Linked DNA regions of Drosophila melanogaster. The main gene of each other region encodes a partner of the protein of the gene in region 2 in a complex. Each region holds a gene or a part of one and is shown on either strand. Other genes may lie near its edges. The genes, in order: Cam and trp. A codon is read from its position in the direction of its gene.

The links.
Region 1: the proteins of trp (region 2) and Cam are in contact, whole or in part, in a crystal structure (PDB 7CQV), measured with the Drosophila melanogaster proteins. Residues at the interface, in NP_476768.1 of Drosophila melanogaster: Gly804 (codon at 13,650), Lys805 (codon at 13,653), Met807 (codon at 13,659), Glu808 (codon at 13,662), Arg809 (codon at 13,665), Ile811 (codon at 13,671), Leu812 (codon at 13,674), Asp814 (codon at 13,680), Phe815 (codon at 13,683), Gln816 (codon at 13,686), Ile817 (codon at 13,689), Val820 (codon at 13,698), Glu821 (codon at 13,701), Lys824 (codon at 13,710); in NP_001246276.1 of Drosophila melanogaster: Glu12, Ala16, Leu19, Phe20, Lys22, Leu33, Val36, Met37, Ser39, Leu40, Gln42, Glu48, Asp51, Met52, Glu55, Val56, Ile64, Phe69, Met72, Met73, Lys76.

The regions. Positions count from the first base shown.
Region 1 is NT_033778.4:12,253,084-12,268,474, reverse strand, and holds the start of Cam (calmodulin), read right to left. Parts: upstream 9,078-15,391; 5' UTR 9,017-9,077; intron 8,444-9,016; exon of another isoform or gene 8,436-8,443; 5' UTR 8,290-8,435; coding exon 8,287-8,289; intron 8,200-8,286; exon of another isoform or gene 7,662-8,199; intron 3,932-7,661; exon of another isoform or gene 3,803-3,931; coding exon of another isoform or gene 3,800-3,802; intron 3,733-3,799; coding exon 3,558-3,732; intron 1-3,557. Other genes in the region: Vha36-2 (vacuolar H[+] ATPase 36kD subunit 2), read right to left, coding at 9,924-10,520, 10,596-11,120; CG13168 (uncharacterized protein), read right to left, coding at 12,868-13,201, 13,254-13,403, 13,460-14,054, 14,111-14,114. UniProt on the Drosophila melanogaster protein: Calmodulin mediates the control of a large number of enzymes, ion channels and other proteins by Ca(2+). Among the enzymes to be stimulated by the calmodulin-Ca(2+) complex are a number of protein kinases and phosphatases.
Region 2 is NT_033777.3:29,914,042-29,929,837, reverse strand, and holds trp (transient receptor potential), read left to right. Parts: upstream 1-9,548; 5' UTR 9,549-9,774; coding exon 9,775-9,923; intron 9,924-9,981; coding exon 9,982-10,219; intron 10,220-10,280; coding exon 10,281-10,423; intron 10,424-10,810; coding exon 10,811-11,012; coding exon of another isoform or gene 11,013-11,021; exon of another isoform or gene 11,022-11,032; intron 11,033-11,106; coding exon 11,107-11,283; intron 11,284-11,450; coding exon 11,451-11,685; intron 11,686-11,740; coding exon 11,741-12,039; intron 12,040-12,096; coding exon 12,097-12,464; intron 12,465-12,525; coding exon 12,526-12,883; intron 12,884-13,198; coding exon 13,199-13,418; intron 13,419-13,629; coding exon 13,630-13,795; intron 13,796-13,850; coding exon 13,851-14,011; intron 14,012-14,070; coding exon 14,071-14,225; intron 14,226-14,285; coding exon 14,286-15,242; 3' UTR 15,243-15,317; downstream 15,318-15,796. Other genes in the region: alpha-Man-Ic (alpha-Mannosidase class I c), read left to right, coding at 1-1,035; CG15522 (uncharacterized protein), read right to left, coding at 1,263-1,657, 1,717-1,843; Jon99Ci (jonah 99Ci), read left to right, coding at 3,664-3,926, 3,984-4,539; Jon99Cii (jonah 99Cii), read left to right, coding at 5,251-6,048; Jon99Ciii (jonah 99Ciii), read right to left, coding at 6,799-7,596; Capa (capability), read left to right, coding at 15,581-15,644. UniProt on the Drosophila melanogaster protein: A light-sensitive calcium channel that is required for inositide-mediated Ca(2+) entry in the retina during phospholipase C (PLC)-mediated phototransduction.

The DNA.
Region 1 (15,391 bases), on a different chromosome or scaffold from region 2:
ATAGTTCTGGTTTTTTTTTTGGGGCCGCAGCAGCGCCATAAAGGCAGCAGCAACAACTTTTGGCCTTAATTGTTATTGACTGACTTTTTCGAGCCATTCCCAGCAGAAAGAAGAAGAAGCGTCTTTTGTCCATAAAATGAAAGTGTATAAAATGCTTTTCAGTTTTCTGTTTTTGCTACCCTCAAAACCAAATGGAGCGTGGTTCATTGTGGGCCATCATTTTGTTTCTTGTGAACTGAATGTGTTTTTTATTACTTTGCTGGAAATGGGTTTTCTCCAGAGGAAACTTTTCGTATATGATTGCCAAACAAAAAAAAAAAAAAAAGCAAAGTCAGAGGTTCACAAGCCCTTTTGAACTTCAATAGCAAATGATCTCCTCCTTGGGGCAATCTAGATTTACTGACAAAGAGTTTGGCCAAATAAAATGGAATGAACTGAATGTAGCTACACAAATAGCCCGTTAAACATATAATGGAAACAAAAATAAATAGTTTGAATCTTCAAGTATTTGGTTTATAAAAAAGTAAACAGTAATTCGCCGAATTAATTGATTTAAAATAAATAAATACTTCTCGAGCACACGAATTCAAATGAATTGAAAAAATCTGGAGGCAATTCCCATTTCAAAATAATGTGTGCATTGAATTCGAAAATTTGACGAAAGAAAAAACATTACACTTTGGGCTAATTTAGATATTATAATTATTCAAATATGGCCGCATTGAGTAGCAAAAATATATTTTGAAAATAGCCAAAGGAACATCAAATACAATATCGACCGGTGGCTTTAGTTCATTTCGATTTCGGTATTGGTTTTTTCTTCACTTTTATTTTTTTTCTTTTTCTGTTGCTTGTTGTCTTGCCTGCGTTTTTGTGTTTATGATTCTATTTAAAACATTTGACGCGATTTTCTGTTGCTTTTGGCTTTGTCGATAGGATTTCCCCAGCCAAAAAAATAGAAAATCAGAAAACAAATACCAAGGAAAGCCTCCGCACACACACACATATATAGACATACACAGCCATTGGCAAATTTGTTGCCATTTTTGTTAGACGCTTCTTAGACTGGCCCGAAACGCCTTTGACGAACCCGCGCGCAGCCCAATTACCATAATTATGATGCTCATCGCGCTGCCAATGGCGATAATGATGACGACGACGATGAGATGATGATGATGATGGCCAGTGTCTGGCGCGGATTTCGGTTTCCATTACGCCGTTCCGCCCATTCCCTCTCTCCTCCTCCTTTCCCTGCTCATCAACACTCCCACTTGCCGATTCGCAACGTTGAGCGCAAAATTTTGCAGACAATTTAAAATTGTAATAAGTTTTGTCTTTTTTTTTTGGTTGGCGCACACAGTGTGTGCAAGGCAAAGGCATCGGCTAAATTTAGTTTGCGCGCATTTTCCATTGGTCTCATCAAAAATAGTCGACTTTTATTCAGATCGACATTATAAGCAAACCATAAAAAAAGATTATTCCGCTAAAAGCGTAACTGCGACTTTTTGGCAAGCGCAATTTAAAGAAAACCACCTTTGGAGTTCACCTATGATGGCCATATAATATAATTATACTTCTATAACGCTATTTTTATTCCGCTGGACAATCCTTCCTACCTGCCCACCAATCCCACCGCCAACTAATTGCACTCGTTTGCATGCAGTTCACAGACCAAAAAAAAAAAAAATAAAAGGCAGCCAGGCAGTTTTGGCCATCGTCAACTGGCTGCGACGAGACGCCAGCGAAATTTTAAGTAATGAATGTTTAATGTTTCCGTCAGATTCCTGACTGCCTGCCTGGCTGGCTGTTGTGACCAGCGTGAGTGGGCCATGTGAGTGGGTGATTCGGATGGCCACAAAATACATTCCATTGTGTGGGATCGTAAATTAGAGGAGTCAGCTGGGAGCAGGCGGCAGTGGGTGGTGGGCAGTGGGAAGTGCCACTTTCGAGTTGCAACAATTTTCGCAAGTAATTTTAAATATTAAACGTTGCACAATAAAGTTGGCAAAAACATTTTGCTTGCACTCAATGTAAAAAGTTTGGCACATATGCAAATTCCAGCAAAATAAAGTTGGCGAAAAATGCTGGACTCCCAAGTGGCGACCCCTTGCCACCCACCCACATACCGAACTACTATTTTTAGTCCTGATAAACAGTTAGTATGCGCATCGCCACCCCCTCGTTTGTCCAAACCCCACATCACCCACTTGTCCATGATTGCAACACTTTAGCTCCAGCAAAAAAAAAAAAAAAAAAGAGAAAAATCATGCAGGGGTTTTTCACAGCGCCTGCGCTCAAAATTCTGTGTGCAGGACTCCGAGTTTGCAGATTGTGTCCTGGATATTTTCGACAACATGCGCACAGAATTTCCACGTGCAAGCGCAACAGCAGCAGCAGCAGCAACAACAGGCAGCCGAGAAAAGCTGGCAAAGAAAATGGAGCAGCAGCGAGAAAACAAATACAAATTGGGCGGGGACACTTGCAAAACTTATGAAAGAACAAGTGATGATGAGCATAAAAGTTACTTTGTGCCAGCCACTGAGTTCTTATGATTTAGTTGCTAAGTATTATCCTTAGCAAAAGCAGCAAAGCACAAACCTGCTTACTTAATTGGAAAATCTATTTATTTGTGGCAAAAGGTGAAAAACCCCTTTACGATTCAAATTTTCGCATTTTGCCACATTTTTGGCGCGAGGCGTGTGTCGCTCGATTTCCTCTTGCATCGAAAATAAAATTGGATCTTCCTCGTTTCCCCAAGAAAGTTTGTTAAACTAAAACTTGTACGAGATTTCGAGCTAAGCGAACAACCACCTTTGCTCAAAAATAAACATTAAAAAAAAAAAATGAAATACCAACGAAAAAAAATCTGACAGCAGCGGCTGCCAAAGACAAGACACGGGAAAGAGCCAAAATATTTTAGTCATCTATTTTTAATGCCTATGACGTGTTTTTGTTGCATATTTTTAGCCAAGAAGTGATTTTCCTTTTCTTTTTTTTTTTCCACCCATTGTTTGTCGTACAAATGTTGGTCTGATCTATGTCTGTCTGCGAAAGAGGTAGTTGGGGAATGGAACGAGTGCGAGGGATTAGGCCCAGAACACCAAATAGATTGGGGTAAACAAAATTAGACATCTCGGGATCGGGTTAGAAGGGGTTCTAGCCAGCTCTCATATATAGCCAGCATAGCATAGAAAATCAGCTCATTTGCACATTGGTCGTAAGCTCTGACGAAGTCTGACTTCATAGTCTAGATGTTGTGGGTCACAGAAAATTAAGGCAAATTCACAATTTGTTTGAAATACTGAAGTTACGAGGCATACAAAACCAGATTATTTACGATTTTTGAACCCTTTAGCTAACATTTGCAGATTAGTATGCATTTTGCAATCTCTTTCGCGAATTCGTAAGTTTTAAATGCTCAGAGGGCATGAGAAATGTGAATCTGACTTGAAATTTATTACATCACCCCAATGAAGGATTTCAATCACGTACATTACCCCCACAAAAGGCTATCCCACTTTATAGAGTATTTCCCCCCACAATCCTCCACAACTTACCGTCGGCATCAACCTCGTTGATCATGTCCTGCAGCTCGGCCTCTGTGGGATTCTGGCCCAGGGAGCGCATAACTGTGCCCAACTCCTTTGTTGTGATGGTGCCATCGCCGTCTTTGTCGAATAGCGAGAATGCCTCTTTGAACTCGGCGATCTGTTCCTCTGTCAGCTGATCGGCCTGCAAAGGGACAAATGAATAGAGCATTAATTGAATGAAACGCAGCAAAAATGAATCGAACACACACCATTATGATAAACGTTGTGTAACTTTCGACTTTATATTCTTAACAAAATAAATTTTACTGATAGATATAGGACTAAACGTCGACCTGGTTTGTTTTGTGAATTACTTTTCAACGGCATCTCGATGGAATTTCAATGTCAACACAAAAAACTACCCAAGTGAACACAATCGGGAATAACAAAAGACGAGAAGGGAGAGAACAATTGTGTTTAATTTGAATAATTTTGCGTATTGTTTGCCCGCCCGTCGCCAGGCAAGTCCAGATACAATTGTATCTGTATCTAGGTATGTTTATAATATTTCTACATATATATATATATATCTGGTGTCTTGAAAAAGGTGTTAAGTTTCCGCTGAATCAACAAAACCTGACGTCAGCGGCGACTGAATAATCAAGAAAGACCCCGTAGGGGGGAAGCTCCAAAGAACCGAGGAGTGGAGATGGCTGCGTTACCCAAAACCAAAATTTATTATTGTCATGCGAATGATGCACATACATATATACATACATATATGTGACAAGAGACGTGCGAGTTGTCAGTTTCACAGGAGCCGGTCGGTCATTCTGGCCAAAAACGATTCTCAGGGTCTAATGTTGCAGCACCAAAAGCAAAAAAGCGGGCACATTAAATTCCCGTCTACCTATTACTGTTACTGTTATTGTTTTACGGCCGAAAATGATTGTTTATTTGTGCAACTCGCTCTACGGCGATAAGCCAAAGAATTTAACGAGTATAATATAAGGCCTGCGGTTTGAATTGCGATAATTGTTATTAATCATGAAGCAAAAATGCAAAAGCAAACTTCGCCTGCGTCATAGGATGACTTATACTATATATTTATATATATTTGTTCAAGCTGATAACTGCTGAAAGCTCTGCTATATGGAAACTATACTAAACTATATATATAGAGTTGTTTGTTGAGCGATCCTATGTAATAACAACTTAATTTGCTTCGTTTAATAATAGCTACTGCCAATCTAGTCTATACTTATTACTCTGAACTGTTGAAAACCAAGTTAATTTATGTGAATTTCCCTAGCACGAACCAATTCGCCCTATCTAATCAATCGCCTTGGTTACCACCGAATTGGGCACCTCAACTTGAAGGCCAAAAGATACCCCAAATCTGAAAAATGGCACAACAAACTTGGCTCTCAGACATGTCGTGTTGACCAGCCTTTATGGACAACTTCCGTTCGGCAAGGAAAATGGAACAGAACAGAAACCCACTCGCTTTAAGCCAAATCAGCAATTGGCATTGGAATTATAGCGCCCTGCTTGACCTTATCTAATCGGGGGAATTTCGGTGAGTTTAAACAGCGAATACAAGCAAATTTGGTAACGGCAACGCGTTGGTGGCACCTGTTTTATTTGCACTTTTTGTCGCGTTGGCGTTCAATTGAATTTGCCCAGCTTATCTTGGCGTACTCTGGGGCAGATAAAACGCTTTTCAACTGGGTTATGTCATTGGCAAGCATGACTAAGCCAGAAACAGAAACCGAATGAGAAACACCCATCGAAATGCAGATCCCCAATCTGTTGAAAAGCAAATTGAAGCCCTCCTGTCTTCAAATGGCGACATTTGCAATCAACAACATGAGCAAAACCCCACCCACCGATGATATCCATTAATGGCAGTCAATCGGGCGAGGTCGTTAATCGAGTGGGGGGCTGGCTAATGCCTAATTGGTAATCCATTTGTATGCACAATCAGACGCCCACGACGTCCCGAGGAAGCTTCCACATCCAAGGCAAATACAGTGCCTTCCGAAAATGTATGCCTGGGGGATCAGGACTCAAGCTGTGCGTATATTTATCGGGATTTGTCCGTCATTTTTTAAGGTAGTGACTCATTGGATGGGTCATTGTATAGTAGTTAGTTCAAGATCATCACTTTTCACTTGCAAATAATATGATATCAAATATTATTCATACTTATGAATACATTTTGATAACAATAATTTTAATACACTTGGGCTTGAATCATTTATAAATTCACAAACGAGTTCTGCTGAATAAAACTATTTCTTCCAATGAGTTTGACAGTTAAATACAACATTAAAACAGGTCTTGGCTGAAATTATGCGGCTTTATGTTAAAGCCAAGTTTGCCGGGTTTACCGTTGTATAGCCGACGCTTTTTTTTTTTTGCCGGTCTCAACCGGTTTCATGGAGTTTAGTTTGGTTTTATGAATGACGGTTAGATTGAGAGCTTGGTTTTTGGGTACAATTTAAGTGCATTCGCACCGGGATCCAAACAACTGTGCTAACTGAGCCATAAGCCAGTCATTTGCCATTATTAACATGACACACACACATATCATCGGGCATTCATCATAGGCCATATGATCATATGATGAAGTCAGCCCAGGAACACAGTGACTCATGGAAATTTATATGAATGTTGGCTCATTTTCAACGGAAACAAATAAGATATACAGACAAACGTATCTCATAATTAGCCGAGCTAAAGATCAACAAACTTTGAAGATCAGTCAGTAAAACCCTTGGCAAATGTTTGCTTCTGGGCCAAGTTAGCAGCGTTGGTTGAATCACTGAAACAAATTGGCCACGTAGAAAGCGATGCGATATATTTTAATTAAAAGCTGTTTGCATTCTGCGTGAGCTGTAAAATCGCTAATTAAATTAGGCGACACCAGATGAGGCTGAAAGAAGGTGTGGCGCGGGTGTGGGCATCGCAGTGGGCGTGGGGCTTTCTTATCAAAAAGCGCAGAGGAAAGCAAACGAACGAGAGAAGAAAGCGCAAAGAGGGCGGCAAGAAAATTGGATTATGTGGTTAAGCGGCGGCGTCTAGCAGGAATTTTTCTTCATTTGCAGCGCTCCTCCTCCCCCATCGTTCGCCTGTGCCGTTACAATAAAATTCTTGCGCGAAAAGGCAAAGTGGAACAGGCAGCCGCCAACACACACACCCATACGCTCACTCACACGCACACGAATACGAATACGCGGAGCCGAACGAATGAACGACCGAAGCGGACGAACCAAGGCGAAGGCGAAACAGCAAAATAACCGCAATGCGGCAAATGAAACGGTTATGGAAGAAAACAAGAAAAGGCAGGCGCCGATAAAAGTGACAAGCGCAAGGCGCAAAAAAAAATGAAATGCTGAAAGAAACGGAAAGAGAGAGACGCAGCACAAAACGGAACTGATAACGCAAACGAAATAATTGCACATAGAGAGAGACGAGAAAGTGTGTGAAACGGTTATGCGAGAGAGCGTCGAAACGGTTAAGCTGAGCGCAAGAGCAGGAGAAATGCCTCTAAAGAATTTTTTCACCATTTCCATGGGGCCGTGTCTAACCTCAATTTTTGCGGCCAAGTGTGCGGTAAATAAAAAATACAACCAGAAAGCAAAGAACAAGCGAACAACGAACGGCGGGGCAAAGAGGAGAGGCCAATAATGCCGGGACCGGCGACTTTGTTGTTCATCATCAATATATATTCACACATTTTCCACTGATAAGCAAAATGGAGGGCGCTTTTCTATTATTTGCGGGGATCTTTGAAAAATTGCTGATAAAAGTGCCGATGGCAACGCGTCTATGTAGGAATGCGAGTGTGTGTGTGCATAAATGCTCAACAAATTGGCTAAAATCACATTGATTTATGATCCCAAATGGTGGTGGTGGGTTGGGCAAGCAGGGGGGCTTCGAAAATGAGGTGTTGCTCGAGATGCTGATAAGAGTTTCCACTTTTCCACGCCTGATTGGGTTTCCAGGGGTATTTCTACCCGAACGTCATGGAATTATTATAGGGCGAACCCGATCGCGTCAACATTCCGTGTGCGACAGCCTTGATAAAATAAATAATAATTTTGACGAGTGACGTGACATGTGTGTAAATTCTTGCTATTGGCATTGCTATTTAATTGTGCTGCTTGTTTTCTGTGACCCTAGGGGCCAAAGTTGAACATTTGATTAAGTCAGGTTAAGAACATGAAAATCTTGCAGCTTAAATATACTAGTTTAAGTATAAACTTAATTTCAAATGATTGCATTCACTTTTTCTCAATGCAGTTTTATGGATTTTGATTATGTTTCATTGTGAAAGGGGTATAAACTACCATATTTTCAAGGGGTTGCATGGTGTTCGCAATTTCTTGTTTCTAAATCAACGATATTGGGTTGTTGAAAAAACTGGTTTTTTCTACCCGTGAGGCGATATATTTTTGGGGTGCAAAATGTAAACGAATTTCCCGGGGACAGCTGCTTTTCGACGGGGTGTTTGGTGTGCTGGGATGTGTGTAGCGAGTGTGTGTGTGTGAAAAGCCGTTAAAACCATATAAACAACGTCTAATTGGAAGCGATTCGCTCCTCCCGCTCGCACTAATGGCAATAGCCCTGGGGGTCGCTGTCTGACTTTGATTTTTCGCAAAAACTGTGGAAATTTCAATGGAAAATGATGGCCGCAGGTTGTGTAAACAGAAAATAAAGATGCACATGTTCTCCAGCCCCATAAACTTACCATTTTTGTAGGTGTTTTTTTTTTCTGTTTGTTGCTAGAGTGACGAAGTTTTAATCCGCTGCGGCTACTGCTGCTGCTTGGGTGTTGGTATGTGTGTGAGTGGAATTACGGAACGCGCGGTTAACTTTATATTTTACTAAATTAACACACTGCAAAAGAAGCAAGAAGAGGTTTGTTGGGTATTACTTTCGGGGGGTCAACTGGAGGTGGAAGAGGCTGAGGAGAAAAACTACTGCCAGCTTGGAGAGAAAGAAAAGCGTCCGTCCAAAGCACCGACGCCGACGCTTTTTTTTCTCGCCGTGGCAGTTTCTGAAATTTCTTTAGTGTTGTTGCTTCAGCCGAATTTAATACAAATTTTCGCCTTGCGTTTCTTCTTTATTTTTTTGTGGCTTTCATTCGTTTTTTTTTTCATCTATTGTGCGAAATATGCCAAACACACGCGCGCACACGGCAGAATTCTCGTTTATATAGTAGATATATGGCGGGGAGAGCTAATACATATAAGAGTTGCTCGAATTCGGTTTTTATAAAGATATTTGTTTAATTTTTTGCTCGTTGGTTTTCTTGATTTTTGGCTGGCGCTGAGAAATTGGCTTTTCCGCGAAACGTTCGCAGCTCCTGGTGCTTGGGTGTGGGCTCTTTTCGCTTTTTTTGTATTTTTTTTTTTTTTTTGTTGGCCCAATACTGCTCTCTATATGCAATGTCTGGTCTGTTTGTTCTGACAACTCACGATCCTAATCTGAATTTCCGTCCGCAACGGTCGACGACTCAAAACTTTGTGTTCAAAATAGCGCTGCGTCGCCATATATACGGTTTTATTTTGCCAGCAGCAATAGCAATAACCGCTCTCGCTCTCGCGAGAACGAACCGGGTAAGTTCGCTTTTGCAGCGGCAGCGTCTGCATGTGTTTGTTTCTGTTGCTTATCCACTCACCTTCGTAAAGCGAAAATAAGTTTGATTTCGCCGTTGTAACGGTCGCGCCGGCGCTTTTCGCGAAAATAGGTGTGTACAAAAATTGTATCAACATACTACAGGTAACTAAAGTTATAAATAATAGGAAGCTAGCTTCTGCAAAAATAAACTTATGCATAGGTTTGCCCTTGCAGTAATAGAAAAAAATGAATCAACTATGTATGTACTCACATATGTACATCTATATAAACAAATGTCTTTTTTATTGTCCGTTTATTCTAATTACCGGTTGTGATTTATGTTTATGTAAACAGTTCTTCGATTTTTAAGTTCAAATTTTAATTGACAAAAATATACTTCAAAATGTTGCAAATTTTATTCTTAACGGATAAATGTTAACGTAAATGTTAAACTAACATTCGATGTTAAAAAAAAACGAACTGTAAAGTCAGCTGTTGCAAACATATAGCATTTGCCATTGCATATGATGGGGAATTAACATACACACATACACATGTATATTATACAGCAGACAGAAATTACATACGTATACGTTATTAATAACAATGACGGTAAATTTTTCCATATATTTTTCGATTTTCGACTGAAATTGCTATACTTTTTCGAAGTGATCACCTAAAATAAATCTTCTATTTGCACACCATATTAAAAATAATTAAGAATTTTTGGACAACTTTAGATTTTGGATTTGTGAGTCCGATTAACTAACTTTCTTCGGGTGGATCTTCATTTACGACATCTTTCGACATCTGGCTGGATCTGCGCTGAGTTTCCTGGCTATTACGCGGAGGAGTATCGGACTTCCTTTCGGTCACATTACTGGCGGACTTCCTTTCCGGTCCGGAGGAGAGGAGCATCCGCTTGGTGCTGTACAGATCACCACTGCTGGCTCGCGGATCCCGCTGGCGACCAGCGAAACTCAACGAGGCTCCGTGGGTGGTGATGAAGGATGTGGGCGGTGGGGGCTCGCCCCGCTTGATGGCCTCCTTTCTCTCCTGCTCGCGGCGCTGCTTTAGGGACAGACGGGCCTCCCGCATGCGCCGCTTCACCTCACGCTCCTCGAACTGCTCCTGATCGAAGGGTGTGTCGGCCGCTGGAGGACGCGTCTGATTTATGTTTCGCTTTATGTAGGTCTCCAGCTCCTCGTCGGTCATGTTCTTGGTCTTGATCAGCTCGGTGAAGGCCATCTTGGCCTCCAGCTGCTTCGCCTGGGAGCGTTTCAGGCGATAGAAATCCTCGCGCTCGAACTCCTCCAACTCGCCGCATATATAGTTATAGGTATTTTGCAGGATGGGTATTACCTTGCGGATACAAAGTGATATTTATTGAAGATTATCCATGATAACATATGGATCATATGAATTAATTATAATTACCACATGCTCCAGAGCATTGACCCTCATGTTGGTCTGCAACGAGGCTGCCTCCAGCATTCGCACTTGGTATTCCAGAGAGGCGAACTCCACCAGTGCCTTGAGTGCCTTCGTATAGGAGTCCCTGATTCGGCTCACTTGCATACCGCCACAGCTGAGACCAGCCAGCGGAAAAGCGCCCACGCCCTTCGTCTCCAGCTCCAGGGTGTTCAGCTTGACGCCCACAATTTTGATCTCCGTGCGGCGTAGCGATACGGTTGCCACGTGGCTGCGGCTTACCATCTGCGGCTTGAAATCGGCGCCCAGAAGATTGGCCTTTGCCATCGAGAATATGGCATTGCGCATCGCCTCATCGCCGTGCATGTCCTGGTCGAAGCGGATGCGACGCAATTCGCGTAGCTTCATATCGATGGCGTCCCGCTTCCGCTTGAGGAGACCCACGCCCCTTCTAGCCGCCAAAACGCGCTGCTTCATGATCACCGAATTGGCGCGGGATGGAAAGATGGGCAGGATATCGCGTTTGGCCATGGCGGTGACTTTGGAATTGGACTCTGATCACGTAGAGTTTGAATTTGGCCGAATTGTAGACTTTGTTACAAACGAATTACTGATGTGAGTATAAAAACATATGTATATTTTTAAAACCACGCTTATAAGAGGTTTTCAAATGCTTATGGAATAAATATGAAAATTGTGGAAGAGTGCTATGAATTAGCTGGGATTTTATGACTCAATCGGCAAAAAGTCAACAAATTTACTCCCTTGAATTCTTTTCGAGCTTATCAAAACTTTCAATTTGTATAGTGAATGCAGTGGTGTATATTATAAATATTTTGTATGAATAAGAAATTTTAGTGCTTGCCAAAATAAGAATTAGAAATGAATAGTTATTTTAGGCTGTAATTATACTAATTAAACTATTTATCAATCAGTTAAATGAATTGTTAACCCTATAATTGAAAAAAAAAATACCAAACAAATTCCTGATCCGCCAAAATCATTTTAAATTACTCATACGCATAGTTGCCTATGGAAAATTACGCATACGCAACGTTGCCTTATCTATGCCTGATATTTAAAACAGCATTTTTATTTAGCTCTCGAAAATGATGTTTTAATTTACATTAGCTTAATCCCTAGAAAATGGAATCATTCACATATAATACATTTGTTATTTGTGCTAAAGATAATGTCCACAAATCGGCAAACCAGCGAATGCGTGTGTGTGTGCAATTACAATGCGGAACGTTTGACCATTCCACTGGGATTTCACATTGCCCATTGGACAGTTGGCCACTGGACACCATTGGACGGCGATTTTGCCCATTTTCCAGCTGCCGTACGATTTCCTTTGCCGCAGCGAATTGTCGCAATGTGGCGCCGCTTGGTGCAACGCAGCCTTGGCGCATTTGCAACGCATGCCAACAAGTTAAGTATGTTAACCTCTGGAAAATTAGACATGCCACAAGGGTTGGTGGTGCGGTGTGAGCTGGGCGTTGGGCGGTGGGTGGTGGGTGATGGTGTGGCAATAGCGATGGCTAGGTAACGAAAACGAGAATGAAAATGAAGTAACAATGCAGCAAACATCGGGCCAAAAGAGCGTTTGTAGTTGTCGTTGTCGTAGTCGTTGTCGCTTGGCGACGACAGCAATGCGCCATTTTTCGTTCGCCCCGCAAGACATGAAAATTTGGCTTTTCCCTCCATCGCTGTATGTGTGTGTGTGTGTGTGTGTGTGCGTGTTGGGTAAACATTCTGCCAGGCGTTTTCATTCTCTCTTGGATTTTCGCAATCGCAGGGAAGCCACACATTTCGCCCTCTGACCCCATAGAAAAAACCGCGTTGACAATGTCTTAGGCGAAATTTATCGCAGTTCAATAGAAAAATATTTAATAAAATTGGTTAGCCTTGCTGAATAAAGGAAATAATCATTTCTTTACTCTAGAATATATAAGAAATTCCAGAAAATTTCTGTGTGTTGTCAAGTGCCAAGTAAACACGATTTAATTGCGAGTAAACATTTGCCTTTTCTCTTATGGAAATATTAATTTGCATACATGGGTACTTATGCATGCTTAGTGATTTTCATGCCACAAAAGCTTGCAAACAACAAATGAGCTCAAGCAAACATAACTTTTTAGCATGTGACAGTTTTAAAAAATAATGAGAAAACAGGATACATATATACACGTTAGTAGTAGTAGAAGGTTGGAATATATTCGTATTTCTACATATAAATTGTACAATGTAGAAATATACAGAGATCCGGTTTGGGACACTACTTTCCCTTCTTGCCCTTGCCCTTTCCCTGGCGCTTCCTCTTGCGCTGATCCTTCTTCCACTTGCGCCAGTATTTTTGAATCTTGCCCGCCGCCCGGTTCATCATGAAGATGACCAGCTTCTCCTGCTGCACGCGACGTTCCTCCTCCTCTCGCTTGACCACGATGTTCTTGTAGATGCGCTCCTCCTGCCTGTACTGGACCATAAAATCGTCGAGGACCTTCTTGGCAGCCAGATACTGATCCTCCGCCACCAAATTCTCACGCATCTTTTCGCCCAGGCTGGTATCGTACTTCTTAAGCATACTCTGCAGTTGCAGGAGCAATTTGTTTCTATAAAGGATTGAGAGCACTTAAATAATAAATTACTCGATTTGTAGCTTACTTTTCGCTTCGCAGCTCGTGCTCTTCGGCCAGATGCTTCTTGGTCATCTTCTCGTAGCTCTCCCGGGCATTCTGCAGCTCCTCCTCCAATTCCTTCTGCCTGTCCATGCTGCTCTTGTGGTAGCTTCGCATCGTGCGATGGCACTTTTCACTGTAATTTGTAAATATATTCAAATAAGAATTTCTAGAACTAGAAATCCGAGTTACATTTCGTTCTGAATGGCCACGTTGTTCTGCCACTTCTTATTGGCCAGATCCTCCTCGACCTTCATCAGATAGATGCCCTTGGCGGCCGTCTTCCATTTGCCAATCACCTTCTGGAAGGCCAGGCTCGCCTTCAGTTCCTTGATTTTCTTCTTGATGTCCACATTCTGATGAAAGATGGCATGGAGCTTTCGCTCCTTGGTAATCTCGCTACGCGAGGATCGGTGCAGATGGACGTGGGCGCTCTCCAGGAGAAAGTGAAAGGCGGCCAGCAATTGGCGATCCCTTTCGTTTAGGTTCTTCTTCAAGTGCGGAAAGAATCGATGAATGCTATGGTTGACCAGGAAGAAGTCCACGATTCGCATGGTGGTGTGGTCATGTGGCAGCTTGGAACGTCCACTCTGCTTGCCAAGGTGGCGGATCATGTCATCGATGGGCTCGAGAACCTCCTCATAGCAGGTGTCCTTCAGGACGCTCTTCAACTTCTCGGGATTCTCCAGCAGCTTCGGTATGATCATCGCTATCTTGATGCGCTCCTGGGACATCTTGAGCACACGTTCCACTCCTTCCAGTCTCACCTGACGTTCGGCGGTGGTATCTGGAAGGAAAAAGGATATGACTGGTTTTGTCTTAAAACATTCATTTTATACTAACCCATTTTTACTTAGCAGCTTTACGGATCCTGGCGCATATATAAAATCCTCATTGAAAGATTTTCGTTTACACAGACATTAATAACTTTACAAAATTTCCTTTTTGCGATATAATTGTGTGCCGGGTTCTTTTAAAATGTATTAATTTAAACGACTCTCGGATACAACAGGAATTTTCTATTTATTATTAACGAAATCACGAAGTTAAAGCAGATAGGTGCAATTAATCTGCCGCAACCTGGAAAGTGAAGCTTTTTTTTCCATTAAATGTTCTTGAGCGTATTTCACTTGTTTGAATATTCTTAACTTCTATGCTTCTTTTGTTTTTTCTATAATTTATGTTTTTCCGATTTTCTGGCTATGCTTGTGTCGAGGTCTTTTTGAATTCTGAGCCGAGTTTGTTATTGTTTTTGGGGATAAACAAACATGGCTTGCTATGTTGACCGTGTTGCCTGGTTGCAAAGCCAAAGAATATATACCAAATAGAAACCCTTTCGATCAAGGAGCAACTGAAGAAGGGGGCGTGGCGAGGGGCGGTAAATTTGAATGGCACTTTCATGGCAATGACTGGTAGAAACTTTTGCCAAGTGCAGTAGTCGACAATGAAGAGTGTGGGGCGGTTTTCTAGGGGGCGGTGGGCGCTCGCCTTCGGTGGGTGGCTTGTTGCTTGTGTGTGGCCATGTCGCATTATGTCAACTGACGTGGCATGAATGAAAGCTGCTGCAGCAAAGCAAACGAGGGAAAATGCGCTGCAGAGGGGCTTGCTGGGAAAAAAGAAAACCATAAGAGCATGAAACGAACTTGTGAATGCAGAACAATGTTGGTGGGTGGGGTTGGTGGTGGTGGTGAAATGTTCCTCACTCAGGTGGAAAATCTACCTAATGAAACTGGCATGAAAGGGGGAGCCACAGAGTGAATGTAATCTGGGAGCCCTTCGCTGCAATCTGCCAAAAATCGGATTCACTAGTACAGTGGAGTCTCAGCACATCCTACCTAATTTAATTTTAAATAAATTTTAGTTACTTAGACGAAGTAATAATATAATAAGGGTCAGTACTTTTTCTTAAAATGAATAAATATATAATATGTTATAACTAAAGGCAGTAGTAATTGCATAAATGAGCTAGCAAATAAAATGCTGCAATGCGAACCAACTAAAAAAAGGAAGGGCAAGATGAAAGGGAAGAAAAATAAAATTGAGCAAGACATAATATTTGTTGTTGCCTTTGCAAAAAGAGAGATGTGTGAGAAAAAGCCAAAAGAAATGACGCATAAACAAGCA
Region 2 (15,796 bases):
GCCATCCATATTGCCGATAAGATCCTGCCTGCCTTCGACACGCCAACTGGTATACCCAGACGACTAGTGGTCCCAAAAGAAGGCAGCACCCTCACGAAGTACCTAAGTGATATCTCTCGCACTTCTGAATTTGGCTCTCTGCACCTGGAGTTCTACTATCTCAGTGAAGTCTCTGGATATCCGGTGTACAGGGAGCGAGTGGATGCTATCCGCGAGATATTAGCTAAAACAACCAGGCCCAATGGCCTTTATCCCAATGCCTATTGCACAAAATTTGGTAAGTGGGAAAATTACAACTGCTCCATGCACCGACTTTATGATACCCTGCTAAAGTCATGGATTCAGTCCGGGAGAACTGATACTCAAAATGCTGATACCTTCAAAGAAGCCATGCTAGCTGTGGCTCAAAATCTGGTTGTCATCAATCCCGAGGACGTGACCTACGTGTCCACGTTCAGGAATGGCACTCTTTTCCATCGTATGAGGCACTCCGATTGCTTTGCCGGCGGGCTTTTTGTCCTGGGAGCAGCAGAAACCCAAATGAAGCACTGGGAAAAGTATGCCCATATTGGCATAGGCCTCACAGATACTTGTCACGACAGCTACTGGAGTTCTCCCACTCGGTTGGGTCCGGATACGTTTGCCTTCACGGAGGAAAGCCAGCAGGAAATAGAGCCGCTCCAGAGGAACTATTACAATTTACGGCCGGAAGTCGCGGAAACTTACTTGGTTCTGTGGCGCATAACCCATCATCCACAGTACCGCTTGTGGGGATTGGAGATGGTGCAGGCGATAGAGAAGTACTGCCGAATGCCCTACGGATATACTGGAGTGATGGACGTTAACAACGTTACTTCGGAACCGGATGACGTGCAGGGGTCCTTCTTCTTGGGCTCCACTCTGAAGTATTTGTATCTGCTCTTCTCCGACGACGACGTGGTTTCGCTGGAGCAGTGGGTCTTCAACAGTGCAGGCCATTTCCTGCCCATTAAGGGCGTGAACCCAATGTATCGTCAGCATAACTCATCGAACTAAACATTAGCCAATTACCAAAATAGTTAGCATCTATTTAAAGTTTAACTTTTAATGCAGACATGTATAAAAAACTTGTGTGATCTAATACTTTCACAATGAATTACAAAACCTAATTTCTAATTAGCTGGGAGCACACACATTGAGCACACCTAAAAGCACATACACACATAAATGTCAAATGTCGAACATTGGCCCGCTAAACCATCGCTGGCATCCGCCCTAGAGCTCTAGAGCTGGCTGTTGGCCAGGTGGTTGTCGATGACCCGCTGGATGATCATCAAGCAGTGGCGCTGCCTGGCCACCGTGTTGTCGATCAGCTGTTCCGTGAACTGACTGGCCGCAATGTTCGTGTTGGGCGGTATATCCTGCGTGCAGGATATGTACCTGTTGAAGATCTCCGTGTTCAGCGACGTGGCCAGATACCGCTCGCTCTCGTCCTGCTGCTGCAGCTTGTCCAGCTCCTGGGCGGCCAGCAACAGCTGATCCTTGGCCTTCTGATATGATTGCAGCTCCTGCAGGCTGGCATACTCGGCGCTGCTCAGTTTCACGGACCTGCCGCCGTCTTTCGTCATCTGGCGAATGTGGTACTTGCGCTCGGCCACAAAATTACCGAGCAAGTATCCTGCGAAACCACGACACACAAGAGTGACTCATTAGGCGCTGTCCTGTGAATGCACTCACCTGTTATCAGCATGAAGAAGCCAATCGTTAGCACCAGGGAGGCACAGGTGCGCTTGGAAACGTACTCGCGGAACTCCCGAGAGCTGTTGGCCCGCACCGCCGTCTCGTAGCTGAGTACCTGGTGCATCCTGATGACCTGGTCCCCTTGGGGATTATAATCTGTGGGGCCTGCTTGGCCTAGTCACGTCGAGACACTCGGATGTGTCCTTCAGAACTGGGTGGGAACATGGTGCTATCGGTGGTATCTAGTGCCTAAAGCATGGAATTTGTAATTAAACATTAGAAACTGTATCTGTGAGTTACAGCTGTAAGTTTCTTAATTACTTCGATATGTTCAAGGATTTAAGAGCGCGGAACTTGGAATGATATAACACCTCTTGGTATGTCATGTCAGGATTTAATGTTCTCCTTTCACATTTTTAGTTTGAGCACTAAAACCGCAGTGTCAATGCCCCGAGTTCCTGTTCTGGCGATGCCGCTGATACGGAGGAGCGTGACTTAATCGCCCCACCTTAAAAGGCAATCGCGAAGCCCGTTGTTATGGGCATCGCACACGGCAAACAGCGCGGTCCTTTAAACGCTTCGTCGAACACTTTTCACTCACTCGCTTTATAGGATATCGTCGGCTTGGCTCGACTCTTGTGCTGCCAGGATGGGGTACATATGCATTAAATTAATTAATGACTGCACTTTTGTGTTGCACTGCCCGAAGGAAGTGGGCTACAAGTGTGGGAATGTCCTTTGCGAAGGGAGCGCGCTCAACTTTTAATTGTATTATTTATGCTTTATTTACTCGTCGCGTTCGCTCGGATCCTTGCGCGTTATCCTTGCGAGCGGTCTGAATGCCCGGACGCCCAGTCGGGAACTGACTCACGCTTCGTTGGGGGTCGGCTTTAATAGCTCTCCGTTCTCCGTTTTCCGTTCCGTGTGGTGAGTTTCCTGCCCCGATATGTTGCACATTTCAGCGTGGCACTACGTCGGCGGAAGGACGGTCAAGGGGAAGCTCGGAGAATGCAAACAAAGGCATTCCCAGTAGCTTCCTAATGAGGAATGGGTCCGCCATTTCGCCCACTCCGCCCGAGGCGTTCCTCAGAAACTATATCGGATTTCAAGCCATCGCCTCACTTTGAGTGATACTGCTGCTCCGTAGTTCCGAAAGTGGACCTCCCTTTTGATTGCCATAATCGTATTTTCTTTTCTGCTTCACTATTCCCTGCAATACTTCAAGGATATCACATGACCCTCGATTGCCATTTCTGTTCCTTGGGGTTCTTTGAAGTCCCCCCCATGACACCTTGCTTGCACATTTTCACTTGTTGTGCTGTGACATATATTACTGGGAATTTATGCATAAACTCAACCATTGCATACAATTTGAATATATATTTTGAGGTACGATTATAAACTTTTGCTTTTCTGAACTTGAAGTACATAATCCCATAACGCACTCTATTACTAAGTTAATCCATTGGGTGGCATAAATTAAAATAATTTATTGCACGATAAGCTTGTACACTTCTATATGTGCATCGATAGTGACTTCATTGGTCTATATAAAAGTGTGAGACCAACAGGAGATTTTAGTATACAAAATGAAGGCTTGCGTACCCATATTGGCAGCCCTTTTTGGATCAGGGAGCAGACTGGCATTTACTATTAACCATGGTTAATAATTCTTTATGATTTAATAAAATTAAATGAATTAAATTGCTTGAACTTGTATCCACTCAGAATTGATTGAAGCACTCAAAACACTCTTATTCCCTTTGCTAACACTTCATTCATACTGCCAAACACTCGTCTTGAGTATCTGCTAGTATAAATCAAACTTTTTCGTTGATAAAAGTGCTGCGAGATAAGATTTCGCACTTTGAATTAGCATCGATAGTGATTATGGCTAAGCTATATAGTATTGGGACCACCATGGGAGCCTTTTAGTCTTTCAATATGAGGGGTCTTACACTCTTGTCGCTCGCCTTCCTTGGGGTCTGTAGTGCCCTAACTGTGCCCCATTCGCTGGTCCATCCACGCGATCTGGAGATTCGTCATGGAGGGATTGAGGGTCGTATTACCAACGGAAACCTGGCGTCCGAGGGTCAGGTTCCCTACATCGTGGGTGTGAGCTTGAACAGCAACGGAAACTGGTGGTGGTGCGGCGGATCCATAATCGGACACACTTGGGTGCTCACTGCTGCCCACTGTACCGCTGGGTGAGTTATTTGATTTCACAAATAATTAACGCTCTTTGATAAATCATCGTATTGCAGTGCTGATGAGGCTTCACTGTACTATGGTGCCGTCAACTACAACGAACCTGCCTTCCGCCACACAGTGAGCAGCGAGAACTTCATCAGATATCCCCACTACGTTGGACTCGATCATGATTTGGCCCTGATCAAGACTCCCCATGTGGACTTCTACAGCCTGGTCAACAAAATAGAGCTTCCCAGCCTGGATGACCGATACAACTCTTACGAAAACAATTGGGTTCAGGCCGCCGGATGGGGTGCCATTTACGATGGCAGCAATGTGGTGGAGGATCTGCGAGTGGTGGATCTGAAAGTGATCTCCGTGGCGGAGTGCCAGGCTTACTACGGAACTGATACCGCCTCCGAGAACACCATCTGTGTGGAAACTCCGGACGGAAAGGCCACCTGCCAGGGTGATTCTGGTGGTCCTCTGGTCACAAAGGAGGGTGATAAGCTTATCGGAATCACTTCCTTCGTCTCCGCTTACGGATGCCAGGTTGGAGGACCGGCTGGCTTCACTAGGGTCACCAAGTACCTGGAATGGATAAAGGAGGAGACTGGAATCTATTATTAAAAAAAAACTTTACTAATTTCAAAGCAAAAAGGTGCTTAAACAAGTTTTAAATAAATGAAGAACATATGCTGTTATATTTTGTGTATTATTAATTTCTTGGAAGATAGTGGCATATTCATGTTTAGAGATAAAATTACCAATAATACATAATCAATACATTACATATTACATAATACATACCATTTAATACATTACCTATGTAATATTAACCTATTAGTGTTTTATTTTTTGATAATCTAAAAATCAACTTGTTGAGAACAAAAACTGTACAATGTGCCGTATGAGTAATATTTTATCACACTTTTTTTTGAAATTGGTAGTAAATACTTTCAATAAACATTATTCAGAATTTAAATTTCTTAAAGATCATAAAATACTTTACTCCTCATTTGGGTAATCTGAGTATATAATATATTTTAGGTGAAGTGAATGTCCTTACATGATACTATCATACTGAAGAGTAAGTTGCAAATAAGGCACATGTCATTCCACTTCAAATTTAGGCCATAATTTACAAAAAAAAAAAATCACCTGTAGTGGACTTATCAGTCGACGATGGCTCGCGATGATAACTTGATTAAAATTTACTGCCCTCCCATTTTACATACGTGTGGAAGGAAGGGCTCTTGGTCGAGATAAGACTACGGACCACTTCTGTATATAAAGGCGCTTCGACATCGGAACACCATTGAGTTGCAAGACTTGACCAAGATGAAACTGTTCGTATTCCTGGCCTTGGCCGTGGCCGCAGCTACTGCTGTGCCCGCTCCCGCCCAGAAGCTGACCCCGACGCCCATCAAGGACATTCAGGGTCGCATCACCAACGGCTACCCAGCCTACGAGGGCAAGGTGCCCTACATCGTGGGTCTGCTCTTCAGCGGCAACGGAAACTGGTGGTGCGGTGGCTCGATCATCGGCAACACCTGGGTCCTGACCGCCGCCCACTGCACCAACGGAGCCAGTGGAGTGACCATCAACTACGGAGCCAGCATCCGCACCCAGCCCCAGTACACCCACTGGGTGGGCAGTGGCGACATCATCCAGCACCACCACTACAACAGCGGCAACCTGCACAACGACATCTCCCTGATCCGTACCCCGCACGTCGACTTCTGGAGCCTGGTCAACAAGGTTGAGCTGCCCAGCTACAACGACCGCTACCAGGACTACGCCGGATGGTGGGCCGTGGCCTCCGGATGGGGCGGCACCTACGATGGCAGCCCACTGCCCGACTGGCTCCAGTCCGTCGATGTCCAGATCATTTCCCAAAGTGATTGCAGCCGCACCTGGTCTCTCCACGACAACATGATCTGCATCAACACTGACGGAGGCAAGTCCACCTGCGGAGGCGACTCTGGTGGCCCCCTGGTTACACACGACGGCAACCGCCTGGTCGGAGTGACCTCCTTCGGATCCGCCGCTGGCTGCCAGTCTGGTGCTCCCGCCGTCTTCAGCCGCGTCACCGGATACCTGGACTGGATCCGCGACAACACCGGCATCTCCTACTAAGCAGTTGATGTTCAATAAACGATTATAGCAAAAATGAAAAATTCGACCAAACTATTTATTCAGTTGTAGATTGAGGGGCACATTATTGAGAGCTAAATATTTATATATTCTATTATGTACATTAAATGTACATATATTATAAAACTAAAAGTAATCTCATATTTTCCTTAAATGTTTTTAAAACGAGATTGTTTAACTTATTTTTATATCCTATTTTTATATTCTATCCATATGATAGCTGTTGAACGCTAGTAGCGACTATAGGGTATTCCTATATTTAAAACTGTTTAAGCTAGGAAAGTCCACTTGCAGCTATTTATAATAACATAAATTTATATTATGTTTATGCACTTTAATTATGTTGCAAATATAACAAGTCCAATATTCTACATACACCATTTTCAATCCAGTTTGCTTTTTATATACATAATATACATAATAATTATAAACAATACATAATAATAATACATAATAATAAGACGTATGATCCATATATATATATTTGCATATAGTCCGATGGTTCGTCATTATGTGTTCCTAAAGCTTGATTTTTTCCGATACATAAATCGGAAATCGGAATAAGTTTATTTCCGTTTGCAGTTTAATATATTTCCCTTCACTTGGAAATATTTTATTGATTTCATTACTTAAGCAAGAAGACATCTGAATCCCATCCCAAAAACAGAACTTGAGTTGCTTGCTATAATCGTTTATTGAAGAAACCCCTCAGAATTAAGGAACATCAACTGCTTAGTAGGAGATGCCGGTGTTGTCGCGGATCCAGTCCAGGTATCCGGTGACGCGGCTGAAGACGGCGGGAGCACCAGACTGGCAGCCAGCGGCGGATCCGAAGGAAGTCACTCCGACCAGGCGGTTGCCGTCGTGTGTAACCAGGGGGCCACCAGAGTCGCCTCCGCAGGTGGACTTGCCTCCGTCAGTGTTGATGCAGATCATGTTGTCGTGGAGAGACCAGGTGCGGCTGCAATCACTTTGGGAAATGATCTGGACATCGACGGACTGGAGCCAGTCGGGCAGTGGGCTGCCATCGTAGGTGCCGCCCCATCCGGAGGCCACGGCCCACCATCCGGCGTAGTCCTGGTAGCGGTCGTTGTAGCTGGGCAGCTCAACCTTGTTGACCAGGCTCCAGAAGTCGACGTGCGGGGTACGGATCAGGGAGATGTCGTTGTGCAGGTTGCCGCTGTTGTAGTGGTGGTGCTGGATGATGTCGCCACTGCCCACCCAGTGGGTGTACTGGGGCTGGGTGCGGATGCTGGCTCCGTAGTTGATGGTCACTCCACTGGCTCCGTTGGTGCAGTGAGCGGCGGTCAGGACCCAGGTGTTGCCGATGATCGAGCCACCGCACCACCAGTTTCCGTTGCCGCTGAAGAGCAGACCCACGATGTAAGGCACCTTGCCCTCGTAGGCTGGGTAGCCGTTGGTGATGCGACCCTGAATGTCCTTGATGGGCGTCGGGGTCAGCTTCTGGGCGGGAGCGGGCACAGCAGTAGCTGCGGCCACGGCCAAGGCCAGGAATACGAACAGTTTCATCTTGGTCAAGTCTTGCAACTCAATGGTGTTCCGATGTCGAAGCGCCTTTATATACAGAAGAAGTCCCTTGTCTTATCTTGACCAAGTGTCAAACTACCCATATGTTGAGCTGGAGGGCAGTAAATTAATGTCATCCAGATTACATAGGAGCAAAAAGACAAAAAATAAACAACGCAGAGGCTTGTACAGCAATATAAAAAACGTAAACTTATCAGTGTTCAATGATTTGCGAATCAGTTAAAAATACAATAAATTTAATGTTAAATACTACTCATCGGATGCAATTCATAAAATCATTTTCTACGTGGGTACATTCAATTTGTTTAAACACATAAGTATCTTATCGGTGCCATAAAGCAAATCAGCATTGATACTATAGATTTTTACGATCATGTTGAGGGCTTAGAGATATAATTTTAATACAGATGGCCATAAAATGAATTTTATCCCGCAATCTTGACGGTTTCCGGTGGGGAGACAGTGAAAGTGCAACCTGCTACGCAAACCCAGGGAAAATGAGCTCTTTCGCTTTTCTCGTGGAGAACTGAGCACATAACTCACAAGGGTCCTTAAAAGCTAAATAAGGCAGGAGTTTTGTTGGAGGCCAATGAATCATTGAGTGCAACCCAGTTGTACACTGCAGAAAATCATGTATAAACCCAACATAGCATTTAGTTAATGGGAACTTATAAGAAGAATGTGCATTTAGCCACATTTGTGTAATGAGGAGTACCTTTATATAATTACGAGAATGCCATCCAGGTATTTTCAGCTATGGCCTCTAATTAATTCGCACTTAATGAGTTCCCCTCGACAGCTGTGACTTTAATTTTGAAATTCCTTGGGCCACCATCACTTCCTTCCTCTTCTCTTGGAAGCCATGCGAGTGGAGTGTGGAGTGCATTGGCCCCGCTAAAAACCCCGTACGACTTGAACACGTACGATGCCATTCCGCCCGGAGCTCCATTGAACCCCACCTTTCGAACACACACATTCATCTCAAAGGGCTGCTCCGTGAAAGTGGGCTTGTTCCTTTTCCTTTTCTCCGCCTTTAGCCAGGAGCTGGCATTTAGTTCCAAGTGCATTGACACACAAAAGCCCTGCGAGCGCCCTGAAGTAAGCAACATTCAACATTCAAGGCTCAAGACGCTCGGCTGCCAAGGACGAGTTGGGTCTTAGATGTACACCACCCCACCTCCCCCTCCCACTTCCCATGCAGATTAATCAATATTCATCAATCACAAAGTCAGAATCACTGACCCAGTGCCCAAAAGGCATTCGAAATCATTTCAATTCGGTAGATACTCGACTGTAAACTGCAGGTGTGGTGTGTTTTCCGGCTCTGTTGGTTAGCCAAAAGCTTAAAAGCTTGCATTTTCTCCTATTTTTAAGGGCTTTTCTCGGTGAATAGTTCTAGGATATGAACCCAAGTCCATGAATCCCTATTTACTCGCAAATTAACACCCTCATGCTACTTTTTGAATATTAAGTAGCTTTGAATTTCGGCTTGAATAGGTGTCAAAAAGTATGCAAAGTGCGTATTTTTTTTTTGGGCATTGATCTATATTGCTGGGTACAAAATATTAGACACCTATTTAATTTCATATCTCAACTGTATGCATCATTTCATCGAAATATAAGCAGATAATATTGTTCCATTTAGCACGTTTTGTTTTTCACTTACATATAAACCCACTGGGCAGTATTGATTTGGATTTTCAGGCATAAAAGTGGTGCGATTCCGTTGCTGGGGCTTCGAAAATCGAAAGTCGCTCATCACGTGCAATGCAACCACAAATGGACGAAAGATTCCTGAACTGAAATCGCTAAAATCGGTTGCTGCCTCCAAATGCAGCCCCACAATTACCGAAGTGCGGTCAAATGGGCCCATTGACTCGGGGTTCGCCCACACATTGACCGAGTTTTAGCCACATTGGGCACTAATGTAATTAGTGGAATATAGCGACCCGTGGCTGCCACTTTTCAGCAGTGCAACGCGGCTAATTGGAGGCGGAACATCGCCACGATGGAACACTAAAGGATACAGTGCGCGAAAGGATTACGCCAAGGCTCCCCGAGGAGCAGGGATAAATGCCCATAGTGTTTGTGAGATGTGAAGTGACCGAGTGATCCGATCCTGATAATCGCGTTCGCATAGACCAGTAAATCAGTGCAGATATGGGCAGCAATACGGAATCCGATGCCGAGAAGGCGTTGGGGTCTCGCCTGGATTACGACCTGATGATGGCCGAGGAGTACATCCTCAGCGATGTGGAGAAGAATTTCATATTGTCCTGCGAGCGGGGTGACTTGCCAGGTGTCAAGAAGTGAGGCTTCCTCCCTATGGCTTCGAGTAACTCGGCTAATATGATTTCGTCCTTGAAGGATCCTCGAGGAGTACCAGGGCACGGACAAGTTCAACATTAACTGCACGGATCCCATGAACCGCTCCGCCCTCATTTCGGCCATCGAGAACGAGAACTTCGACCTGATGGTGATCCTGCTGGAGCATAACATCGAGGTGGGCGACGCCCTGTTGCACGCCATCTCGGAGGAGTATGTGGAGGCGGTGGAGGAGCTGCTGCAGTGGGAGGAGACCAACCACAAGGAGGGCCAGCCATACGTAGGTCACATCCTGCCGCAGAATATGCCACAACTCTTACTCTTTTCCCCTCCTTTGGCAGAGCTGGGAGGCGGTGGACCGCTCCAAGTCCACCTTCACCGTGGACATCACGCCCCTTATCCTGGCCGCCCACCGAAATAACTACGAGATACTCAAAATCCTCCTGGATCGCGGGGCCACGCTGCCCATGCCGCACGACGTCAAGTGAGTGGGGTGGTGTAGGGATGCAGTTGCTCGGTGATATGGCTATGTAGTGAGCTTCCTCGTCCTTCGAGCGGCACGTTCCATTGTTTGTCCAATTGGCAACACACTTATGTAGCACATCGCTGGGTGCCTCTAATTTTAGATAATTGCGGGCAAATTAGGGTGAAATATTAATACAGGGTGTAATGTTGTGTGTGGGAAGAGCAGGTCCTTGAATGTTCTTAAATTGGGTCAATGGACTCAAGCCTTTAACAGCGTCATAAATGTCCTTGCTAGGAGAGAAGGTCCTTTGTACTCCTTTCAGATTGATTTAAATGTATTTATTATTATAGAACTCTTGGGTTCCGTACACTTTGTATATCATCGCTTAATCTCAATTGTTTCTAGGTGCGGCTGCGATGAGTGTGTGACCTCCCAGATGACGGACTCCCTGCGCCACTCGCAGTCGAGGATCAACGCATACCGCGCCCTGTCCGCCAGCTCGCTGATAGCGCTCAGCTCCCGGGACCCTGTACTGACCGCCTTCCAATTGTCCTGGGAACTCAAGCGCCTGCAGGCGATGGAATCGGAGTTTCGTGCCGAATACACGGTACGGTAGTAGTGTGCAATGTAAGCGGTGGCCAGTGTGCCACTAGAGTCTATGCGAATGCGAATGCGAGCCTTTGTTTGTGTTTGCCCAACAGGAGATGCGTCAGATGGTGCAGGACTTCGGGACCTCGCTCCTGGATCACGCACGCACATCCATGGAACTCGAGGTGATGCTCAACTTCAACCACGAGCCGTCCCACGACATCTGGTGCCTTGGCCAGCGGCAAACCCTGGAACGACTGAAGCTGGCCATTCGCTATAAGCAAAAAACGGTGGGTTCGGACTAATCCGTGCACATTAAGGAACTGTGAAGGTTACAAGCTTGTGGCTAGATACCCATGCCTAATCCACCACAGACCAACTGGGATTTAATAGCTTTATATATAGAAACGGATCTTAGTACCCTGCTTGAATTTATAAACATTACTCCCCCTTCTAGTTTGTGGCACATCCAAATGTCCAACAATTGTTGGCCGCCATTTGGTACGACGGACTGCCGGGCTTCCGGCGCAAGCAGGCCTCCCAGCAGCTGATGGATGTCGTGAAGCTGGGATGCAGCTTCCCCATCTACAGCTTGAAGTACATCCTGGCCCCGGATTCCGAGGGTGCCAAGTTCATGCGCAAGCCCTTTGTCAAGTTCATCACGCACTCCTGCTCCTACATGTTCTTCCTGAGTGGGTAAAGTGGGTGCTTAACACTTCATCCATCTAAATATGCGCCCATTCACAGTGCTCCTGGGTGCTGCCTCCCTGAGGGTGGTGCAAATCACCTTTGAACTCCTCGCATTTCCCTGGATGCTGACCATGCTGGAGGATTGGCGCAAACACGAGAGAGGTTCACTACCGGGTCCCATTGAACTGGCAATCATTACCTACATAATGGCTCTAATATTTGAGGAACTGAAATCTTTATATTCGGACGGCTTGTTTGAGTACATCATGGATCTTTGGAACATAGTGGACTACATATCGAACATGTTCTATGTGACGTGGATTCTTTGTAGGGCCACCGCTTGGGTAATCGTCCATGTGAGTCCATATGAATCTAATGAATAAATTGGAGTTACTGAAACGAATTGATTTCAGCGTGATCTCTGGTTCCGGGGCATAGATCCTTACTTCCCAAGGGAACACTGGCATCCGTTTGATCCAATGCTTCTATCAGAGGGCGCCTTTGCTGCCGGAATGGTCTTCTCCTATCTAAAGCTCGTCCACATCTTCTCCATTAATCCCCACCTGGGACCCTTGCAAGTTTCACTGGGTCGCATGATAATCGACATCATCAAGTTCTTCTTCATCTACACACTGGTGTTGTTTGCCTTCGGATGTGGTCTCAACCAGTTGCTATGGTACTACGCTGAGCTGGAGAAGAACAAGTGCTATCACCTGCATCCCGATGTGGCTGACTTTGATGACCAGGAGAAGGCTTGTACCATCTGGCGAAGATTTTCCAAGTATATTACATTCATTTCTATGTACTTTATCATATTGGCATCCCATTTCAATTTACTTTAGCTTATTCGAAACATCACAATCGCTCTTTTGGGCCTCTTTTGGCCTGGTGGACCTGGTCTCCTTCGATCTGGCGGGAATCAAGAGCTTCACCCGCTTCTGGGCACTGCTAATGTTCGGCTCCTATTCGGTTATCAACATCATTGTGCTTCTCAACATGCTGATTGCCATGATGTCCAACTCCTACCAAATCATCTCGGAGCGAGCCGACACTGAGTGGAAGTTCGCCCGATCCCAGCTGTGGATGAGCTACTTCGAGGATGGCGGCACCATTCCACCGCCCTTCAACCTCTGTCCCAACATGAAGATGTTGAGGAAGACCCTGGGCCGAAAGCGACCGTCACGAACCAAGAGCTTCATGGTAAGTTACACTCAGAGAAATTCAATATTTCAGTTTAAGTATTATACAAATCCACACATATATATTAAATTCAGTGTACTCTACTTTTAAATGATATTTCTTATCATATTACTTTTAAATGTAAGTAACATTTCGAAAGTTCGATTTTTTCAAGTTGAATCACCTCACAGTGAGAGGCGGCTCACAATCAATACAAATCTTAAGCGAAATCATTTTCAATCAAGCCCATGCAGAGCTATCTGTGCGTCAAATTGACGTCTAATACATCCTTTCTGTGTCCTTCCACCCTCTAATGCTCCCTGTTCCAACTCCCAGCGAAAGTCCATGGAACGGGCACAGACGCTGCATGACAAAGTGATGAAGCTGCTGGTCAGGAGGTACATTACGGCGGAGCAGAGGCGGCGGGACGATTACGGCATTACCGAGGATGATATCATTGAGGTGCGCCAGGACATCAGCTCCTTGCGGTTCGAGTTGCTGGAGATTTTCACCAACAATAACTGGGATGTACCCGACATTGAGAAGAAGTCGCAGGGTAAGGGAAGCCTACCCACATCCAAATTGGCAACTTACACGTGTCTTAAGATAGAAGTAGCAGTATATATGAATAATTATTTACAATTAGCTTTTGAATACCTAATAAAGTTCACCCCATCTTGAATATTAATTTGAAATATGTTGTGCTAGAAGACTACAAAGCTAGAATGGATTTTAATGGATTTTATTCACTAAACTTACTTTTGAAGGAGTTGCTCGAACCACCAAGGGCAAGGTGATGGAACGTCGCATCCTTAAGGACTTCCAAATCGGCTTCGTCGAGAATCTGAAGCAGGAAATGAGCGAATCTGAGAGCGGACGAGATATATTCTCATCGCTGGCCAAGGTCATCGGCAGAAAGAAGACCCAGAAGGGGTAGGTCCACTTAAATCTGTAAGACGCTTTGAATAATGGTTATTATTCTCAACAGAGACAAGGATTGGAACGCCATTGCGAGGAAGAATACTTTCGCCTCCGATCCCATTGGCTCCAAGCGCTCCTCCATGCAACGTCATAGCCAGCGAAGCTTGAGGAGGAAGATCATCGAGCAGGCGAATGAGGGTCTTCAGATGAACCAGACCCAGTTGATTGGTAAATTAATAAAGATGTGCCCAATGTATGTATATTTCCATACCCTTGATCTCCTCCAGAATTCAATCCCAACTTGGGTGATGTGACGCGTGCCACAAGAGTGGCTTATGTCAAGTTCATGCGGAAGAAGATGGCTGCCGACGAGGTTTCCTTGGCCGATGACGAGGGTGCTCCAAATGGCGAAGGCGAAAAGAAGCCACTGGATGCCTCTGGGGTACGTTCCAATCAATATATGTATATGTATTCCCTGGCTAATATATAATCTCACTTGCAGTCTAAAAAGTCCATAACTAGTGGTGGAACTGGAGGAGGAGCTTCTATGTTGGCTGCAGCTGCTCTAAGAGCATCGGTTAAGAATGTGGATGAAAAATCCGGAGCCGATGGCAAGCCCGGCACGATGGGCAAGCCAACGGATGACAAGAAAGCAGGTGATGATAAGGATAAGCAGCAGCCTCCCAAGGACTCCAAGCCGTCAGCAGGTGGTCCCAAGCCCGGGGATCAGAAGCCAACTCCGGGTGCGGGAGCTCCAAAGCCCCAAGCAGCTGGCACTATCAGCAAGCCCGGTGAGTCACAAAAGAAGGACGCTCCGGCACCACCAACCAAACCTGGAGACACCAAGCCTGCTGCGCCGAAGCCTGGAGAATCCGCCAAGCCCGAGGCCGCTGCCAAAAAGGAGGAGTCTTCCAAGACCGAAGCTAGCAAGCCGGCAGCCACAAATGGAGCAGCCAAGAGCGCAGCTCCCTCCGCTCCTTCGGATGCCAAGCCGGATTCCAAACTGAAACCTGGAGCAGCTGGAGCACCAGAAGCAACTAAGGCAACCAATGGGGCCTCCAAGCCGGACGAAAAGAAGAGCGGTCCGGAGGAGCCAAAAAAGGCTGCAGGAGACTCCAAGCCAGGAGACGATGCCAAGGACAAGGATAAGAAACCCGGCGACGATAAGGACAAGAAACCTGGCGACGACAAAGACAAGAAACCTGCTGACAATAATGATAAGAAGCCAGCCGATGACAAGGACAAGAAGCCGGGAGACGATAAGGACAAGAAGCCGGGTGACGACAAGGACAAGAAGCCGAGCGATGATAAGGACAAGAAGCCTGCCGATGACAAGGACAAGAAGCCAGCAGCAGCTCCTCTGAAGCCGGCGATCAAGGTGGGTCAGAGCAGTGCCGCAGCTGGCGGAGAACGAGGCAAATCCACGGTCACAGGACGCATGATCTCCGGCTGGCTCTAAGCCGCGGAATCCACTTTCATAGCAATTAAATAGTTAAGTCCTTTGTTTGTGTGAATAATAAAAAAAAAGAATCTCAAGTACCACGTTTCTGCAACTTGTTGCTAAAGGCCACCTGTTGCCAGCAACATCTCATTTGCATCGCAGCAACATTCATCATCCGCCCCGTTGTTCCGATGGCAATTTGTTTGTCTGCCATCCATCCGCCTGCTTTTCTGGCCTATAAAAGAACGTGAACTTCGACCAGAGGAATCAGAAGAACCGTGACCGTTCCGAGGATAACATCAGACCGAAAAACATATTCGCCAAGCCAGTGTTTCGTCCTAAATAGTCTTGCAAATATGAAATCTATGTTGGTCCACATAGTTCTAGTGATTTTCATAATCGCCGAATTCAGTACAGCTGGTGAGTGGTGGAAACATTACAAAATCGCTTTTAAGGAAATCTTAAACAACAAACTAGTCTATCTCGACTAAGTGCTGCTGCTATCTTTTGTTAACTTTAAAGTGAAAATAGTTAAATGCTTTTTAATAATGTTCAATAATATTTTGCAGCAC